Linked DNA regions of Caenorhabditis elegans. The protein of the gene in region 2 interacts with the protein of the main gene of each other region in a pairwise test. Each region holds a gene or a part of one and is shown on either strand. Other genes may lie near its edges. The genes, in order: ceh-63 and ceh-14.

Evidence for each region.
Region 1: the proteins of ceh-14 (region 2) and ceh-63 interact in a two-hybrid assay, tested with the Caenorhabditis elegans proteins (one study listed by BioGRID).

The regions. Positions count from the first base shown.
Region 1 is NC_003284.9:3,672,061-3,675,988, forward strand, and holds ceh-63 (Homeobox protein ceh-63), read right to left. Parts: upstream 1,999-3,928; 5' UTR 1,629-1,998; coding exon 1,614-1,628; intron 1,570-1,613; coding exon 1,510-1,569; intron 1,464-1,509; coding exon 1,383-1,463; intron 1,324-1,382; coding exon 1,187-1,323; intron 484-1,186; coding exon 318-483; 3' UTR 214-317; downstream 1-213. Other genes in the region: Putative protein tag-52, read right to left, coding at 2,191-2,370. UniProt on the Caenorhabditis elegans protein: Probable transcription factor, modulating expression of helix-loop-helix protein mbr-1, perhaps acting in concert with homeobox protein ceh-14. May play a minor role in axon guidance in the DVC interneuron.
Region 2 is NC_003284.9:7,530,728-7,534,655, forward strand, and holds the start of ceh-14 (LIM/homeobox protein ceh-14), read right to left. Parts: upstream 2,006-3,928; coding exon 1,900-2,005; intron 1,135-1,899; exon of another isoform or gene 986-1,134; intron 757-985; coding exon 666-756; intron 609-665; coding exon 504-608; intron 1-503. UniProt on the Caenorhabditis elegans protein: Probable transcription factor, modulating expression of helix-loop-helix protein mbr-1 and homeobox protein ceh-63, perhaps acting in concert with ceh-63. Binds to a motif including the sequence 5'-CTAAT-3' in regulatory promoter elements.

The DNA.
Region 1 (3,928 bases), 3.9 Mb from region 2:
CTGTTTTCTAGAAGCCTGTGAGAAATGGCCATCAAAATGTTTACAATGACCCACTGTTTACAATGACCCACTGGTCGGTCTTTGCGTTTCTTTGTCTGATACGAAATTGAAATTGAATTTGAATTTAATTTGATAACATCGAACGTGCAAGACTTCAAGACTATTTGAGTTTTGACGTAATGACGTTATTCGAAAAAGACGAACAATGAAAGAATCAAAACTGAACATTTTATTGAATTTCATAATTTTGCTCAAATAAAGTATGTTTTTTTTCATGAAGAATTCAGTATAAAAAAGTAGACAAAGAGCTGCAAAAATCAAACATTGTTCTGTTGATCAGAAGGAAGTGAATATGCAAAATGCGAGGGCCATGAATGGAAAAACGTTTGCAAATTCTGAACATGCTGAGACGATGGATTTTGTGGCGAAGGAGAACGTTCGTCAGACTTCTTCATCATGCTTTTTCGAAGAGGAGATGTACATCTGAAATTTTACGGGTTTGATTATTGAATGTTTACATAACTTAGATTTTATATGGTACGGGCACGTAAATTGACAACACTTATTGCTCATTTATTTTTTAAAATGTCAACGTGGACGTTTTATATTTTTCAATTTTTTTAGTTTCTTTGGGAATTCACGAGTACTTTCATTTTTATTGTTACTGTTTCAATTTTATTAATTCATTTTACATCTAAAATTTGAGAATTAAAACGAAATCTGAAAATTGAGCAAAAACATTTGTCAATTGGGCCTAGGGTACAGCTTTTAAAAAAACTAAGCTGAAAAACGCAAGGCTCACAATTAAATCTAACATTTGACCTTAAAAACTAAGCCTCAAAAGAGAGCTTCAGATTTCAGGCTAAAGTTTTTAAGCCTATGTTGTGAGGCAAGCTTGTTGAACGTAGAGTTTCAGATTCAACTTCTAATATAGGTTTTCAGGCTTTCTCAAAATAAAGGATATGTCAGTCAACGAATTTCTGTTCAAAATTTTGAAAAATGCAAAAATTATAGGTTTCGCCTTTTTTTCATCAATTCTACTGTGAAAATTTTTTAGCGGATAAATTTCAAAACTGGGATGTACCAACAATTTTAACATGAAAATTAAAAAAAAAAACATTTAAACTTGCTTCGACCATTACTAATAAAAACGTTTATTTTTAAAAATTTTTTTGATCAAATAAACCTTCGTTTTTTAGTTCTCCGGTTCTGAAACCAGGTCTTCACTTGACATTCAGTGAGTTCAATTGTTTGAGCCAACTCGCCGCGTCGGTCTTTGCAGATGTATTCATTCTTTGCAAATTCCAACTCCAAAAGTGTGACCTTAACATATTAAATTGAGTGGAAAATAATTGGAAATGTCAATTATTCTAATGTTTCACCTGCTCCGATGTGAAAGTTGTTCTTTTAGTCGGTCGATTGCTCCTTTTCGGTGGCGGTTTGATGTTCTTAATTTGTTGGGACTAAATTGGAAAATTGATTACTTTTTAAAAATTATCAAATACTTACCGAATTGGTGTCATTTGACCATGGAAAGAAGTCATATGCAAATTTGTTTGACGTCATATTCTGACAAAGGGAAGGTTAAAAAAATAATATTATTTCAAACTTACCGTTTTAGACGTCATGCTAACAACACAATGAGCAAAACAGGGGCAATGAAAGCTCAGAGCAATTGGATGTTTAATTTGAAGGAAACGACTTTATGACTTTTCAGGATGGGACATTACATGGAAAAGAGCTGTGCAATTAGCATGGAGCGTCGTTGGAAAACACGTCGTTAATTGTAGAATTGTAGCAGATCCTACCCTACCCGGTAATAAAGATTCCAGCGTCAAACAATTATATCTATTTGTTCATTGTAGGCTTCTGTTCTCTTTTCCAGCCTATCAATTTGCAGAACAAAATGCTTCTTGTGATTCATGACTCATTTCATCAAAAATTGTTGGTAGGTACCTGAAAACATGTTTCAAAAGAAGTATCAATAGCTGTTTATTGATAACATAGTGAACAGTCTGAACAGTTTCTGGGGAGAGATATTTCACGAAAACATAAATTTTTAAGGGAAAAATGGGGAGAAAATGTGTAGAAAAAATAGGAACGACACAATGCAGAGATCAACGATCATGAGATGAAAACATACAAATAGATGGACCAAAATAGCTGAAAATTTAAAAAAAAGAGGAAAAATTACATAATTGCGCAACTATTTCTGATTGAATCAATTATTGAAGACTTTTGATTTTTAATAGCCGGTGGTGCTGATTCGGTCTCCCACCACGGACGTGGACGCTCTCCTTTGACTTTGATATCAATGATGTCGTCCTCATCATCGTCCTCAGTGACCATGTTGAATGGCTCCAGAGAACGCTGAAAATCATTTTTTGTTAGCTTGTATTAGTTTTTCTAATTTATTGAGAAAGGGTCTAATGTAAAGGTTCCACCGGGCTTTTGAACTAGACATGTTTTATTTGAAATACCATAATTAGAAATTGTTAAATATGGATTTTAAGCAGGGAATTTTATAATTGAGTTTGCGATGAGTACTCGGCGTTTGCCGCCAGTTTCCTACCCAAGGCTTCGCAACTTCTTACCCAAGCCTTGCCCAAAAAATAAAAACATTTATAAGGAGTTGCCAAGGCTTGGGTAAACCTTGGGCAAGAGTTGGGCGCCTCATAAATAAAAAAAGTCGTGGACTGCCTCGTCGTCTCGAGGCGTCGCCCAAGTCTTACCCAAGTTTTGCCTATTTCTTACCCAATTTATACGTGTGTGTTGAACTTTGATCGCATTTCCTGTTGTTCCGAAGTCTTACCTGCTGAGCCATGATGGTCGCGCGAAAAGATGCACACTAATAATATATCGTACTCATATTCTGATAGATATTTTTGAGGAAGTATCAGACACATCGGATTAATACGGTATTCCCACATACCTTATTTCATTTGTTTTCAAGTGTGCTCCCTAATGATTCTAAGTACAGAATTTACAAAATTACTGTAATTCATGTTTGTTTCATGTCTTTCAATTTTATAAAAGTTTACATTTCAAAGGAACATTTTAGTCTTAGAAAAATTCAAAAGTTGATGCATTGGATTGACTGACTATTATTTGACTATTGGACTGACTAGGAGAAGAATCATCCTGAAGATAACTTTTCTTTTTATTTTTAGATAAATTATTCGGTTTATTAGACAGTCACAGGAAATAAAAGGCAAACTTTGTTCGTACATTTTTTAACAATGTTAGCCATCAGAGCAAAATATTTAGAATTTGACTTTGAAGGGACAAGTTTTCCTGTGAATTCTTTCAATTACATCGAAATTCCTCTATTTTAAATACAAATTACTCAAAAGACAAAGTGTCGATTTACGCTAAACATTGCGCATGCAGGATTTCGGAATCTTGTTTGTTCTTTACATCTGCAAACTTGGGTAAAAAGTTGGCAAGACTTGGCTAAGACTTGGGCAAAACTCGGGCGAGGGAGTTTACACTAGAATTGTTGAAGTTGGGTAAGACTTGGGCATACTCTGGGTTAGAAGTTGGCAAGAGTTGGGTAAGAAGCTGGAAAGCCCCAAACTTGGGGAAGAAGCTGCCGGGAATTGCCGAGTAAGAGCAGCAACATCGGAGCTCTGGGGATGTTCATGATGGTAAGTTACCATTGGTAACATGCAGATTTTTTTATTGGAAAAATCACCCTCGTAATTTAAAAAATATGTTTCGAGTTTCTGAAAATTGCATGCTTCTGGTGATCAAAATTCCAGATTTTGATAAAATTCAGACATCTTCCAAACTTTTTTTAAAGTCATGAAAGTTATATGAATTGGCAAATACCACCACCACACATGTCCTCGGAGCACCCACAATGCACCGCTTATTCCGAGCATATTTGCAAGCTCACCGCAAACTCAATTCTAAAATTTCGAAGTCT
Region 2 (3,928 bases):
TTAAGACCGTAATAAATAAAATTATCAACCTTATTGGAGCAAGTTTACGGTAACGCACTGAATAATTTTCAGATTAACTTTTTTTTTATTAGAGTGATACTCTGCAACCATATTTTTTGTAGTCATCTATTTTTAAAGAAAAATTTTAATCTGAAGTCAGAGAGCTGTGATATTATATTATAAAAGAAAATTGAACGTTTACTCAAAAAAACCTTTTAAATTTTTATTATTATCATTGAATGTTTGAAATCGTTCTCTAATTTTTTATTCTAAGATTTACCAAAAAGCTATCCCCTAGTTTCCAAGTTGAATTTAAATTCTATTCTTCTGGTTGAAAATGTTTTCGCACCAAATATTAAAAAAAAAAAAAACATAAGCTTTCAAAGACAATGTTTTGTTATCATACACTTCTCCGTTCTATTTCAAAATATGTGAGTAAGAAAGCTAAAAAGCCGCACTACGCATTTCTGTGATACCAAAAAAAGCTAAAACTACCATCTTACTTGTAAAAGTGTGCCCGGCAATACATAGAATCTTCGCGCAGGAAACATGTCGCACCAAGCTCGTCTTTACACGTAGAACATCGGAGGCATGATGAATGATAACATCTGAAAAGAATGAAACTTTGTCGAGAAAAAAATACTAGAGAAGAACAGTGAACCCACCTTCCGTTGACCTTTGAAACGAACCGATCTCTTATTTTCTTGTCACAAAGCGAACAAATGGCTTCTTCGTTATTCGGATGGCCTGCATTAACTGTAATAAATAATTCAACTTGTTTCATATAGCGGCGTGTCGGCTAGATACCCATTCTTGACACATATTCTTGACACATGCTTTATGCTTGACATTCTCCTTGTCTTGTCCATTTTCCCTTGCTACACACTAAACCTTATATATTCTGTCATAATATTGTTGACTCCTACTGTTTTTACTTAATTTGTGGCTAAACAGGTTGGAGGAACAAGAGAGAAAACAGGAGGAGGGATATAACGAACCTAACGGTAATTCAATGCTCATCGCCAGAAGCTTGCAGGTGTGCGTCCTCCCCATAAACTGCTAAAGGTACGGATGATGCGCGGAGGTGTGACCAACCATTAAAATATCAAATTTCCAGAAGAATGATGGTCCAGTATTAGCAAAAATATTATGCTATTTTTGTTGCTCAGAGACACAGAAAATACGAACACGAGGCCCGAAACGAGGTATCCGAGAACGCGCGAAAAGGTGTGATAGGTTTCGAAAAACGTTTCCAGTGTGTAATATTGAGTCACAATAGGCAAAAGGATGGTCAACTAAAAAAACGCGAGGAGAAGAAAGTGATAAGCGACAAAGGCCACTGCCGTTGGCTACTGTTATTGTAATATGAAGTATGAGAGAAAAATGGTGTAGTTGTCGGTAATGTTCAAAAGGACAGGAAGCGAAATGACAAGGATGGACTTTTTTCTTTTCTTTTTGTCGTATGACTTAAGAATATGGGGAATACGTTTTTGCTTATGATTCTGAAGTATGAAATGTTTTCACGAAATGGTGTTGAACTAATTTTCTAGATGTTTACTAAAAAGTCCCTTGTCCCGGTTTTAAGGGGTTTGTGATTAAAAAAACAAATTTGCAGCTCAACAGCTGGCATTCTCTGAAAAAATCAATTCTTCACACTATGCATTTTGATAAATACGAGCAATATATGGTACTTGTTTATTAGCTGTTACCCAATATGTTTTCAGTGTATAAAATTCTATGATGTCAACACGTAAATAACCATGATTGCTCCTGCGTCTAAAATACAAAAAGAAAACATTTTTAATTTTTGGAAAAATTGAAAACATTTCGGGGTACAGATACAAAAAATACCTATTTATTTTAATCGAGTATATCCGAAGAATATGTTTCCAAACCTACCATTACTAAAGTCTTCCTGCGGAGAAAGAAGCCCGGTGCTGCACATCACGATATGATTGTCCAGCTCATCGCACTCGCCAAGAGTCAAAATGTTGTGTCCCAGCATGTTTGTTGAAAAAGGCCTCTGAAAATAAACATAGCGAGTCGAATTCGGGATAGACGATTCTGACGATTTAGTTGAGGTGAATATTTAAGCGAAACCAAAGATATAATGTAATTTATTTTCTCTTTATTTTTGTTTATTATATGAAAACAAAAAAGAAAAAGAAAGAAAAAATTTGATTAGCTAAAAGTCTAATTTCAGAAAAAAAAAGTATTCATGAAAAAAAAACCGCACGCTAGCTTGAATAGCTAATGAACTTTTATAAAAAGCCTAGTCAAATGTTTCAGACTCATGATCAAACTCGTATGGAAAGTTAAGAAAAAATGTCGTTAGTCGGTTCTTGAGACTACGTGTATGTTATGCTCCACGAGCCATGAATGTCCCGAAAATAAAGTCCCGCCCATTTCTTGTCTCACGCCAATGAGCGGGTAAGAAGCCATGCTCTCTTGTGCATTTCTTAGCTCTGGGATACGATACATCTCCCGAAACAATGGATTCAAACCTAAAGTTCACTAATTGAATGTTGCTCAAATGACTTATCACATCTAAGCAAATGTTTTACAGAAACGGCCGCGAAAATAAGAAGATTGTTTTTATCATCGATAAATTCAGAAATCCTCTCAAATCCGCTCGTTCCTCGTGATTTTCGGAGCAATAGCATCTTTCCAAAAAACTTTGTTTATATTCTACTTTCAAAATGATTGAAAAAGTGCAAAATTTGAAAAAAGAAAGAAACATTTCAACTTAATTGATGTCAAAAGCAATTAAGAGAGGGTGTCCTAGTTTCATTAATATTGCGTGCTTTTTGAAATGAAATGAGAAAATGAAATGATCAGTTAGGTCAAGAAAAAATTAAATTGCGGCATGAACATGTTTTTGTGGATTATTGCATTATTAGAAACTATTGAACTTTTCATGAATGGGTTCCTTTTAAATGGTAAAAAAAATACTTTAATGAATAGAAAATTACAGTTGCTCATTTTAAATGAAAACAATTGTTGAATTTTCAGGAGTAGAGTTTCAGAATGAAATATCATCTTGGAAACAATAGAATTAACAGAAATTCAACTTGAGGAGCCTAACAGTAGTAAACATTGATCTTAAAATACAAAACAGTCGAAACTATGAATAAGTAAAATATAAACTATTTAGTAAAGTAACCCGATGATTGAATTTCATGGAAGTTTTAAAAATACAAAAATAGCTTCAAAATGTCTATTCAAAAATTATCGTCAAATATACGTATTACCGTATTAGTATTGTTTCTATTAAGCTTAAATCTTTACTGCTCTTATGTGGCAACTCATATCTTGAGTTTTGGATTCTATTCAAATTTGTTAAACTATTGGAATATCAAAAGCACACATATTTGGCACTTGTTCCGACTGAAAATGTTCCGACAAAGCAACAACTTTGAGCTTTCAATGTTCAACAATTGTGGTACAAGACTACTAGAAAAAGTTCTTATAAATTATTTTACTTAATAAATAACAAAAATAAACATGAAACAATGTAAGTTGGTAATGTTCCGGTTGATCATTTTTATAGCAATTTCTGTGTGAGTTTCTTTTTCACTACTTCTATCATTACAATAATATGTGATAGTATATTGCTTGTATTTGTCTAGACTAAATTATTATAGGTTCACGATCTGCAGACTGCTTTAGTACTTCTTTTTTGGAAATGTATGGTGCCTATCCCAAGCTTTAAGCCAACCTAAGAAAACATTGATAATTTGTCTGCTTAACAAAAGATCAGAAGTTTACGAAATAGTTAATTAAAAGTAATATAAACCAATGCTGCTCTCAAAAGCAGACAAGACAACGTGCGAGAGCACATCCATTATCCGGCTTGCAGGCCAGGATAGAAGCGCTTCAAAATTAGGTAATAGCTGGGTCTCGGCTCTCGTCCCGAAAAGCTGCCACC